3 separate regions of the Mus musculus genome follow, and regions 2 and 3 are each reported to be linked to region 1. Evidence: microRNA targets listed by miRTarBase, many of them from high-throughput screens and not tested one by one. Region 1 holds a microRNA gene; each other region holds the end of a gene's coding sequence.
What was found. The annotated mature microRNA mmu-miR-331-3p reads GCCCCUGGGCCUAUCCUAGAA and lies in region 1 at 1,257-1,277, opposite strand. An mRNA with a match to its seed (bases 2 to 7 or 8) in the 3' UTR can be bound and repressed. Matches are read on the target gene's strand: a 7mer-m8 pairs with bases 2 to 8, a 7mer-A1 pairs with bases 2 to 7 and ends in A, and an 8mer does both.

Region 1 (4,068 bases):
AAAAAAACAAACCTAATTAAACAGTCCATAATTTCTATTTTTGGTCTCTATTTATGATGTAAATGAGTATAATGCCCCCAAAATACTCACAAAACATATTACACATCAACCTGGTGTGTGCACATGGATTCTAGGCAATGCTGATCTCTTAGGTAAGTGTGTTCATGAGGCACACACTCCAAGGAAGAAAACACTGAGAAGCACAAAACTCAATCTGTGGCATAAAAAAAATTCCCATAAACTTGGGGTAGAAATGGGATGAATATGGTGTAGAATAGTTGAGTTTTTCGGGTGAGCCTCAATAGGCGCCAGGCCCATTTGGAACTGTGACTGGGTGACGTAAATTTTGGTAGTGTGATAAAGATTGGTAGGAATGCATGATTTTGAGTTCCTTATGTATGGAGAGTTTATTAGTCTGCACAAAACATCAAAAGCATAAATTGTCAATGCTTACCATAATTTTTCAGTTTGGGTCTTCATGCATTTTCAGAATTCTTGTCTTCCAAATCAAAACAAATAAACACACAGTTGACTCTAGTAATGCCAGCTAGATTATGAGGTCATAACATATATTTATTAGATCAGGAAGAAAACTGAAGTTCTTAAAATTTTCTTCTGCACAATACTGCTGCAAAATCCACGGGCTTAACCATCTACTACCTCACCATACTCATGGTCCTGAGCCACAGAAACCTTAAAAGGAGCTCTGCTGCGCAGCAGACCCAGTGACAGGGAAAACATACTAATTTCTGAAACAAGAACTTAGAGCCACTCAGCATTAGAGTGGGAAGACGAAGACAGATGCTTGCCGTTCCGAAAGTGCCAATAAAGCATACAGCTGACAGAGACTGGTTAGACATCACTGGAAGTAGTTAAGAAAAGACAATTTGTCCAGTTTGGAAGAAGGCTGTTTTGAGAACGGTTTTGTGGCTACATTGCTGCTTTTTAAAATAGACATTTAAATCAGTTTTATCTGACGATAAAAATCACAAGACCAGTTCTCCTCACTGGGAATTAATAACAACCACATAGAATTTCTACCATAGGAAACTACTGGGGTATCAGCCTCGGGAGACTTTGTTATTACCAAATATTGTTATTTTGACTCCAGACAGATTAACCAGCCAGGGCTTGCTAAACAATAGGTACATATATAAGAACTGAATCTTGGTGAGTACAGGATGTGTAGTCAGCCTCAGTTATCTTCGGTCTTCATCCTCTGGGTGTTCCAGGAATGATGCACGGGTTTAGGTTGGTTCTAGGATAGGCCCAGGGGCCTGGTTTGATCTGGGATCCCTGGGACCATACCTAGAACAAACCCAAACAAAACCAGACTCCTTGGGAGTGCTTTCAGCTTGCATGGGCTTCTGGGCTTCTCACCCATGTGGGCCTCCAGGGCTGGATCAGGGCCACACACCAACCTTTAAGGGATAGGAGTGACATTCTTGGAGCCTTCTATATATTGTCACACACCAGTACTGTGCCTCAGCACTTTTAAGTCACAGACTTGAACAGAAGGTACAGAAAAATGCAGAACATACTTGGACTCAGAATCAGAGTCAATTTAGTCATTTAACTTGGAAGGAAAAGCGGGCTAAGAAGTTGTTTAGGTCATTGTAAAAGAGCAAACTTACAAAGGACATACTTTAGTTTTAGAAGAGATTTGCAACAATAAACTTATTTGTATGTAGTCAGTCTTTAGGACATGTTATAAAACTGTTATAAATCCTAAAATAATACTATCTATTTTAAGAAACTCTTAAGAAATAAGTGAGAAAAAATATCTATTTAGCATTATCTACAGGTAGTCCAATTTTTCAGCTTGTATAATCAGAAGTATACACACCCTAAGCATCATTTCCACTTGAGCAACATATGTGCTAAGTGAATCTCAGTACACAGGGATAAAACTAATGTCACTGCTGACACACTAAAGTGGATTCTAATGGACTGCATTTTAAAGACACCATGGGCATTAGAATCTATCACACAATCATCACTATATATATAAACCTTGGCCAGTCAGGAACTCACTATGTGGACCAGGCTGGCCTTGAAATCAGAGATATGCCTGCCTGTTTCCAGAGTGCAGGGATTAAAGGTATGTGCCACTACACCTAGATTTGATCACACATTTAAAGATAGGTATGAAATTAATTCCTCCTAATTCCTGCTGAATCTTGCCTATGTAAACCCCGGTATGAACTCCTTCTTTTTGGTTTACAGCAATTGCACTGGGTAGAATTGTGCTTCTCTAACAGCTTACTCAGAGAGAAGCACCAATCATGTCTGCCATCACTGTCTCTTCTACAATGGTGTCAATACAAGGAACTGGTTTGGACCATTCTTCTTACAATTATTATATCATAATTCCCTTCCATAACATGGGTAACTGGAGAGCAGCCACATGAAGCATGATTATGAAAGTCTGATACAGCATCCACGCTGAATGTAATGAGAGTGAGTTCCATGAAGCATGAGAATAAAATAGACTGACACACTACTCACTCTGTATATGATGACAGCGAGTCCCATGGTTAGCAAAGCACAGCACATAAACGGTACAACTAAGCAGATGTTAGGAGAGCCACTTCTAGACAGTCTAGTATTATTGGAAAATGTAATCTTGCTTATTTTATACACTGAAGGCTAATTTAGGCATGCCAACTACTGAATGACAGTGGATCTTCTGCCACTGAGTTAACACTGATGAATCATGGGAAACTTTTAATGTATACTTCACTTCCTTTAGCTGAATTAAAGAAAGCAAAGATGCTGTCAGCGTGGATGGTCTTTCATAATCATGTTATTCTTTGTGGCCTAGGTTCTACAATTGTAGTACTTCTCAGATATCTTCAATAATTGTTTTCTTATTTTCCATGGCTTAATCTACTTTGTCTTGGAAATGAAGACGCATTTATCTTAAATAAGAGAGCCAAAGAAATTCAGGACAGCATGTGGTTTCCAATTCAAATGGAAAGTATATATGACAGTAATCACTGCAAAAGAGTTACAGGTATAGAACCAACTTTAGAGAAGGCAAGATGTTGGGGAAAATTATCTTGTATAACAATACTTTCATATTGAAAGTAGGCATTTAACCCAGCAATTTCACTGGGTCAAAGACTGTAATCCAGCACGTCATAAGAAATCCTTCAGAAGAGTCAGTGAGCGTCAGCAGTATGCCTGTCACTCTGCATCTGCCTGCTCTTACCTTACACAGCTTAACTAGCAGAGTCATCTAGTCTTCACAGCAGGTCGGAAGGCATGCGTGAGAGCGGACAAGGGCCGCTAATTCACGCACACTTAATCTGCAGTAACAGGAACGGAGGAATCCCTACCAAAACTGAACGCATGATGACTGAAGCCCAGTCAAGTCAAATGGAACTTAATAAAGGGACAGTTCTTGGCGTTTAGTGTACCAGAGGATAACAACCCGTGTTAATAATGACCATTTTGAGCTGGCTGTAGTAGTCCATGTCTTTCATCCTAGCACTTGGCAGGCAGAGACAGGCAAATCTCAGGGTCAGCCTTGTCTACATAATGAGTTCCAGGGTAGGCAATATAGAGCAGCCCTGTCTCAAAAAACCAATGGCTATGATGATTATGATGATGAATTTGTGTCTTTGTGTACATGTATACAAGAGGGTATGCACACACATATTCATGTGTATGTACATGTGTGTATATGGGCTAAGTCAGAGGTTGAGTTGATGTTTAGGGTTTCCCTAGACCACTCTCACTGATGAGGCCAGAGTGGCTGGCCAGAGACTTTCTGGGGATTTTTCTGACTCTAACCCCAGGCATGGGGTTATAGATGTATGCCATATATATGCCCAGCTCTTTTATATGGGCACTGGGATCTGAGTGAAGGTTCTCATTCTCGTACTTGTTTAGAGGACACTTTACCCAGTGAGTCATCTCCCCAGCTCCTTGATAACCGTTGTAATATAGCAAAGATTATGGTGTATTTCATACATTGCTAGAGAACTGGGCTGTCCAAATCATTTATTCCCCTGTCAAGTCTGCCAGTTCTTACTAAATGAGTCAGGTTTAGTTTCAAACCAG
Region 2 (4,068 bases), not on the chromosome of region 1:
ATTAAATCACCTTCATTTAGTGCCCAGTGTAGCTTTTTGAGATCAGATGAAGTCCATAATCCTTTTCTTAAAATTGGTTGATGAGATATACATGGAGGAAAATATGGAATTTTGAATAACCAAAATTGTCACCCAACACTAAATAATCCTGGAAATCCAGTATATTTCAGCCAATAAACCTGTCAGAAATTAGTTTGGATATGACATTCTTTGATTAGGCAGTGTGTGAGATGGCTTTAGTGGCATGTTCTTTCATGGTTCATACTTAATTTCCTTGAGCAAAGATGTATCATGAATTCAGTTCTATGATGAAGGTTATAGACTATAAATTTTATACAGGATGCTATGCACTTCTGAGTTCCACTTATATTTGCTAAGTTTAATGTTAAAATATTCTATTTCCAACTTGTGTCTTCTAGTCACAATTTATTCAATTTTCAAAGACCCTGTATAATTTATTTCATGAGGACCCTGAAGAAGAGTCGCTATATCAAGCCATTGCTATTGTAACCAACCTTCTGCTCAGGATGGAAGAAGTTGGAAGGAAACTCCATAGCCCGGCATCATCAGCCAGTACAGCTCGTGATTCTGGACCCAGTGAAGGGAATGCAGAGAGCAGTGTGAAGAAAGATCTTCCCTCTCCCAGGGAAGAACATCAGTGGTCGTTTGCATTTGAGCAGATTCTTGCTTCCCTGTTAAATGAACCAGCCTTGGTGAGGTTTTTTGAGAGACCCTTAGATTTAAAAGCCAAGCTAGAAAATGCGAAAAGCTCCCAGCTAAGGTCTAGAACCAAGATGTAAATCTCTGCCATCATCAGCTTTGCCAAGATTCCTGCACTATCAGCCTGATTCCTGGGAATACTTCTCAGGGATATGTTGCATTACTGATGTGCTCCAAGGCAGAAGAAAAAGATACTCAGAAGCACAATGGTTCATTCCTTTGTATTAAATGCACTTTTAAAAAATTCTCCCCCTGTCACAAGATAAGCAGCATCAGGGTCACATGCTCAGTGGGACCACCAGAGGGCGCCACCATATCACTTTAGTGAGTCAGTCACAAGTTTGTCCTGCTGTTTCCATGAGATTGCTGGTCTTTTGAAAGGTGGTAGGATATTTATTATAATGCTGTTATGGCAAATTGGTAAGCCTTGTTTTTCAAATGACCCCAGTCTTATAAAAACTTTACAAAACTGGGCTTTAGAACTGTAGCCTTAATTATCTAGGAAGTTGCCTTTTAGGGCCCTGATTTCCAAGTTATATAACTAAAAGATTTACTTCTAAAACGTAATTTTATTCAGTACAGTAATACATGGTTTTACAGTAATACATGCAACTTCTGCATTCTCTGCTCTCGAGGGATTGAGCACTCGGTGTTTAACGCTACTAACTCTGTTGCTGATAAACACAAATCAAGAAGTCTAAATTCTGGGCTGATATAAAGAAAAACAACACCAGATTTAGACTTAAATCAAATAAAGCCAGCATTTTGAAAAGAAAGGTTAGAAGACAGTTTAGTTAACTATATAGCTCTTTCAGTTAGACTGAGACACAAATAAAAATTCTCTAGAGTGGCATTGTTTATTGCTTTGGTTTCAGAATAGCTTCTGATTGCTTGTGTCCCAGCTTTGTAGTTTGAATTTTTACCCATTGTATTTTAATTTATAGTAGGTAGTGTGGAAGAGTTTCACTAAGACTGAATTGCTGTATTAGTCTGGCAAGCATGTAAAGTATACTTCATGTAATACTTACTAGGGTACTATATAGAATTGCCAGCATCTACCTAAAAAGGTTAGACTTAGATGTGCAATTTTTACATACTTTATGCTTTTTCTATGGCAGTCCATTTAAATATATATGGACGCTGATAGCACTTTCAAAAGAACAAAACAACAAACAAACAAAAACAAGCAATCCATGCAGACCTGACCTGTCTTCTGCCGCTTTTGAAGAGGGACTTATTTAGCAGTTGACTTGGGAAATGGGGCAGGAACCAGTGTGTGGAGCTTCTGTCTTCACACTAGACTTGGATTTCGAGCCTCTGACTTGGCTAGAAGGGAAACAATGAAAGGATAGACTTCCTTCATGGTGACCAAACAAGTCTCCCTTTCTGGGAAAGAATTGGCATGGTCAGTCTTTGACAAGAACGTACTGTGACTAAAACCTAACTGTGTTACCATACCACATACTATTTTCAGTGAAGCTAAGCACTTCTCAAATTGTGTCTTTGAAAATTCCTATGTATCAGGAGATGGCCTAATCGGCCATCAGTAGAAAGAGAGGCCCATTGGTCGTGCAAACTTTATATGCCCCAGTACAGGGGAACACCAGGGCCAAAAAGTGGGAGTGGCGGGGGGAGGGTATGGGGGACTTTTGGGATAGCATTGTAAATGTAAATGAAGAAAATACCTAATTAAAATTAAAAAAAAATAAATTTAAAAAATCCCTTAATGTAATCCACTATATAAACAAACTCAAAGGAAAAAAAAAAAGAAAGAAAATTCCTAAGTTGAATTTGGTCAAATGCTGGTAGCATCTTTAAGATTTGATTATGCTGTCTTTTCAAGGACATGACTACTTAAAAGAGATAGTTGAAAACTAAGCCTTTCTGCCTCAACTCAGAGATGATTAGCTAAAATATGTCCCAATTTTCAATCCTAGTTGATAGTTTATGTGAGAACCATCACACATCTACCATTATGCAATGATTGTTAAATTATACGATGATAGCTCTAGAAAAACATATGGTCCGCGCTTGTATACAAAGATACTGTTATACACACTTTGTTGAATATTTTGTCAGTTGTATTTACAACAGATACTTTCTTAAGAGAATATGTTGTTAGTTTTTGATATTATTTTAAAGTCAAAATGGTAAAGATTACTGAATATTGTATTTTAGTCTTGATCAATAAAAAATAAATAAAGAGATTTTTTGAATTTCAAGAAGATTATAAATGAAAGCAAGACAACAATGTATTTTCCGAGTCTGCAGGAGAAGGAAGCAAAACATGTTCTAGTTTTATAGCTGCTGCTTTGTTAAGCAAATGAGTTGTTCACAATATTCAAAATATTTTGTTGTGTCAAACTGGACCAGTGCATTATGCCTTTTACCTTAAATGTTATAACATGACTTTGTCTTTATAAAACTAAGTATTAAAAATCTATTATATTAAATATGAAAGGTTTACTAAAAGGCCAAATGTTTTATTATGCACTTTACTGACACATAACTGAAATATCACTTGAGCCTATGCATCCTTGCTACATCAGTTTCGACTCTAGCTGCAAGAAAACCAGAATTCATTCTCAATTGGTTTAGGCAGGAAACTGTTTATCCCTGGATAGTAAGTGGCTTGTATCATTATTAGAAGGAGCAGCTTAGTTGAACTTTCAAACACAACATCCAAGACCACCTCCCTCCCAGGCTAGCAGGACAGTTGCTAATTCTTGTATGATAGGAAACTGCCAGAGTGAAAACACTCGCTACCTCCAGAGACATGATTCACTTGCAAATGGATGCCAAGTTCCTTGCCCCTCAGCACCCAGGCACTCATGACTAAATTGCAGCGGAATAGCCAGAAATCTTCACAGTCATCTTCAGCAGCAGATGTCAGAAGTGCAGTGTTCACCCTGCCAGCCAAGAATCATCATAGTCCAGAATCAGAGTGCTAAAGAAAGGTGGGAATTGTGCTTTTCCCTTCTGAAGTCCAGCAACCCCCCCCCCCCCAGACCAGAATGGATACTGAGAACTACGTGAGCATTTCCCCCTTCTCGTGCTGCATAAGAAATCAGTACAATGCACATTTATCATCTAACTATTTAAGTGTGTCATCACTAGGGACTCAGCCTAGCTAGGTCCTCTGGGTAGGATTATGAGGCTGTGAGCAAGGGATAATCTAGACTTGGTTCTCAGGTAAAGACTTGGTTCCGCTGGGGAAGAAATCTACTTCCAAGTCTCTATGTCCTTTCTATGTAGCTCTGAAACCACAGCCTGTTATAGGTGGCCACCCTCAGTCGCTAAATGCCTCACACAATTCCACAGGTGTCTTTAGCATCTATAGGTCTTGAT
Region 3 (4,068 bases), not on the chromosome of region 1:
AAGCCCTTTTCTTGATGGGCCAGACTGTGTTCCAATCCAGTTAAGGAAGGTAAGATATGGAGTCCAGTATCCATTGCAGTTATCAAGATATATAGTTCAGGGAGGTTTCATTGGCTGAGAAAAAAAGGGGGTCAGGGGATGCCTTTTCAAAGATCATCCCTGGACAGGGTGTGAATGATTATTTTACCAAATGAGGGTTCTCTGGTGGTTTCAAGAAGTCCCTAATCTGCTGGAACATTTAGCCATGGGATGTGGGTCATCTTAGTCCATTCATTTATTCACAACCCATGATTCCTCAGGAATTCTCCAAATGCAAACCCTGGATTTCACTTTTATGTGTCTAGAGTTACTGGAAGGTATTCCAGGTAAACACTTATATGACACAGATATTGAAGGTAATTAGCTTGCAAAGATCTTTGTATCCGGGAAACTACAACTATACTGATCCTGGAAATTTTCACCATATTCTGCTTTTGATAAAGATATAAAAAGTATGATTGTTCTCAATGAAATTGACACACCTGTGACATTGGGCTGTGGTCCCTCCAACCTGGCCTGACTTAATTCCTTGCAACCATATCAGGTGACCTGGACCTGGAAAATAAGCACAGGCACTTACATGACTGTCTCCTAGAAGCTGTCTGCAGTTAGCTGTTAGCTGATGGTTGTTCAGCAGAGTCATAAAAAGAAAAAAAATTGTAGAGTGACTAGAGGATATTCTATTGATCTGTTCAGCTGACAACAGTTCTATTGATCTATTGTCTTTGGCAAACACTGAGTCATGTGTGTTTCTAAGTATGAAGGAGTTTCATCCTTAATTCTACACAATTCCACATGTTGGAAGATTTAGTATTCCATACCTAGAACCTATTCCTTCTTTTGCTCCAGAAGCAGAACAATTTTTCCTTCCCCTTGTTTCAAAGCTTCCTGTCTTAGTTAGGGTTTTACTGGTGTGAACAAACACCATGTCCAATGCAAGTCTTACAAGGACAACATTTAATTGGGGCTGGCTTACAGGTTCAGAGGTTCAGTCCATTATCATCAAGATGAGAGCTTGGCAGCATCCAGGCAGGCATGGTGCAGGAGGAGTTGAGAGTTATACATCTTCATCTGAAGGTTGCTAGCAGAATACTGGCTTCTAGGCATCTAGGATGAGGGTCTTAAAAATACCTACTCCAAGGAGGCCACACCTAATTCAAGAAGGCCACACCTTCTAATAGTGCCACTCCCTGGGCTGTGCATATACAAACCATAACAGGTCTCTTTGCCATGAAGAGTAAGAGTTGCTTCTCTTCCCCTAGAGTGTAAGAGTAACTTTTATTCACAAGAGGTAATAGTCATCTTGGAGACTTACTGCCTCTGTCTACTAACCTAGGTCTAGTCCTGGAAGCTTCTAGCTTCCAAACTCAAAATTCCTCTCCAGCCTGATTCAATATGGCTTCCCTTAGCTTCTTAATTTCTCTGATGGCTTCAAACTAACTTTGGCAATGTGTTCTAACCTTCTAGCTCTTTCTCATCCTCTGGCTCATTCTTTCTTCAATTGTGCCTAGCTTTTTCTTGTAAACAACACAATCTGGAGGTTCACTGTGTAATTAAATATCCTGCAACACTAGAGAAATTTTATCATATATGAGGACCTCAAGGGAGACCTTCATGCCTTTCCCTCAGCGGCTCATCTTTCCCAGGCATGTGCCCAGACTTTCTCATGCCCACCCAGGAAAGTACCTGAAAATGAGCATAAGCTCTCCTTATGGTGGAGGTTCTCAGAAGATCTCCATTCTCATGCCACTAAACTCAATCTTGGTTAATTTGCTAACATTTTAACTTAATTATAATTTGTGAGTTGTCTAGTATGCACTACCTGCCCCAGGTAGAAATATTTCCTTCTCCTCACTCTCTGAAGATGTTTGTCTTTCCTTAGGTTTTTCTCATGTGCTTGTACTACAACCTCAGCTCTCTGGGTGGAATCTAAAAAAAAATGTGATTTTTGCAATTACCTAACATTATTTATTGGAAGAACAGTCTATTCTGGGAAAAAGCACAGCAATTAATCATTCAATAGCAAATGGTCATCCCTGAAAATATACATACAAGCAACATTGTACAGATTGAGCAGGTTGTATTTATATATATATGTAGATATGCATATATGCTTATAGCAACAATTCATGAAAAAGAAGGCCATGTATTTGAAAGAAAGCAAGGAATGGTACATGGGAGGATTTAGGGGGAAGAAAGGAAAGAGGGAAATAGTATCATTGTATTATGATATCAAAAATGGAATAAGTAATAAAAATAGAACAGTCACAAACTTTTTTCTAACTTTCTGAATCATGAGTAAAATCATATTTATTTATTTATCAACAATCTTTCTTTTTAAAAACATAATTCTTTTATTGAGTGCTAGGGAATTTCACATCACATACCCCAATATCACTGATTTCTTAGTACTATCATACCCACCCTCCTCCACCTGTAACCTCCTCCCCAAAAGGAAATTTAAAATTTTTAAATTAAAAAATTATATATCACCAATCTTCTCTATCACCCACAGGCGTCTCTCCGACAAGGCCCTGCTGTCACATCTGCAATCCCGCCATACTTATACCCTCAGTGTCTATGTAGAGAAGAATGATATCTCAAACCTTAGACAAAGCAACAATTTTATTAGATATTTTCTTCATTTACATTTCAAATGCTATCCCGAAAGTCCCCTATAACACCCCCCACACACACTCCCCAACCCACCCACATCCACTCCTGCTGCCTGGCCCTGGCATTCCCCTGTACTGGGGCATATGATCTTTGCAAGACCAAGGGCCTCTCCTCCCATTGATGACCGGCCAGGCCATCTTCTGCTACATATGCAACTGGAGACACAGTTCTGGGGGGTACTGGTTAGTTCATGTTGTTGTTCCTCCTATAGCGTTGCAGACCACTTGCTGCTTGGGTACTTTCTCTAGCTCCTTTATTAGGGGCCCTGTGTTCCATCCAATAGATGACTGTGAGCATCTGCTTCTGTACTTGTCAGTCACTGGCAGAGCCTCACAAGAGAGAGCTATATCAGGATCCTGTCAGCAAAATCTTGCTGGCATATGCAATAGTGTCTGGGTTTGGTGGTTGTATATAGGATGGATCCCCAGGTTGGGCAGTCTTAATAACTTAATTAATAATAAGTTTACATATATTTTTCAGATGTTTTTTGAGTATTTGTCCTTTTCTAAGTAATACAATATGATGATGAGGTTGTAAAATGCTATCCTCAGGTAGTTCAGTCTAGTTCAAGGAGCAGCATCAGGATTCTTCAGGAAAAGGTTTTTCAAATGAGGTGACTTCACTCCACACTTTTCATGTCAGTTTTTGGCTTTGCAGCCTTAATAACCTGGGTAGGAAAGGAAGATGAAGACTGAAATATTGTTGATTAATTAATTCTCCTCTACTTTCACTTACTGTGTTCTCCTGAAAATTCCTTTCTTCTCATCAAATCTCCTCACCTAACACATATTTCCTCTTAATTCTGTCACTCTTGGACAACTCTCCTGAACTATATCTGCCCTGAACACACACACACTCCTACACAAGAAGGACAAATATGAAGACTTCTCAGGTCCCCATCTAATAACTCTATATATACAGTTGAGTGGTGAGGAAGAGAGGAAAGCAGAATCAGTGGGATCATCAGCACGGGGATGTGATAGCTGACTTAACTGCTTTGGACTATGACAGATGTGAAGATGATTGCCCTGGCTCAGATGTTTGTTGTCAGGGTGTTATAGTCTGACTTGACTTTTAACTGCATTTGCCAGAATGATGTGTGCAACTTTGAGAAAGCTGCCTTCATTAGATTTAGACTGTATTCAATAAATTCATTGTGGAAAGTTCTTTGAGAGGAGGAGGAGGAGGAGAAGGAAGAAGAAGAAGAAGAAGAAGAAGAAGAAGAAGAAGAAGAAGAAGAAGAAGAAGAAGAAGAAGAAGAAGAAGAAGAAGAAGAAGAAGAAGAAGAAGAAGAAGAAGAAAAGAAGGAGAGTGAGATTTTGTGTGTGCATGTGTGTATGTGTTTGTGTGTGT

Region 2: miRTarBase lists Tbc1d8b as a target of mmu-miR-331-3p. Seed matches in the 3' UTR shown: 7mer-A1 at 2,314-2,320.
Region 3: the mRNA of Aim2 is a reported target of mmu-miR-331-3p. Seed matches in the 3' UTR shown: 7mer-A1 at 2,781-2,787.

Annotation. Positions count from the first base shown.
Region 1 is chr10:93,962,527-93,966,594 of GRCm38, forward strand. It overlaps Mir331 (microRNA 331), which reads right to left and starts at 1,337; the gene lies at 1,242-1,337. Vezt (vezatin, adherens junctions transmembrane protein) reads right to left here. Exons shown (of 12, transcript NM_172538.5): 12 at 1-4,068.
Region 2 is chrX:139,751,042-139,755,109 of GRCm38, forward strand. Tbc1d8b (TBC1 domain family, member 8B) reads left to right here. Exons shown (of 21, transcript NM_001081499.2): 21 at 420-3,177. The coding sequence ends at 800. Among named protein-coding and RNA genes, the nearest start is that of Ripply1, 29 kb to the right of the region's middle.
Region 3 is chr1:173,464,285-173,468,352 of GRCm38, reverse strand. Aim2 (absent in melanoma 2) reads right to left here. Exons shown (of 9, transcript NM_001013779.2): 9 at 2,313-3,382. The coding sequence ends at 3,335. Among named protein-coding and RNA genes, the nearest start is that of Ifi206, 25 kb to the left of the region's middle.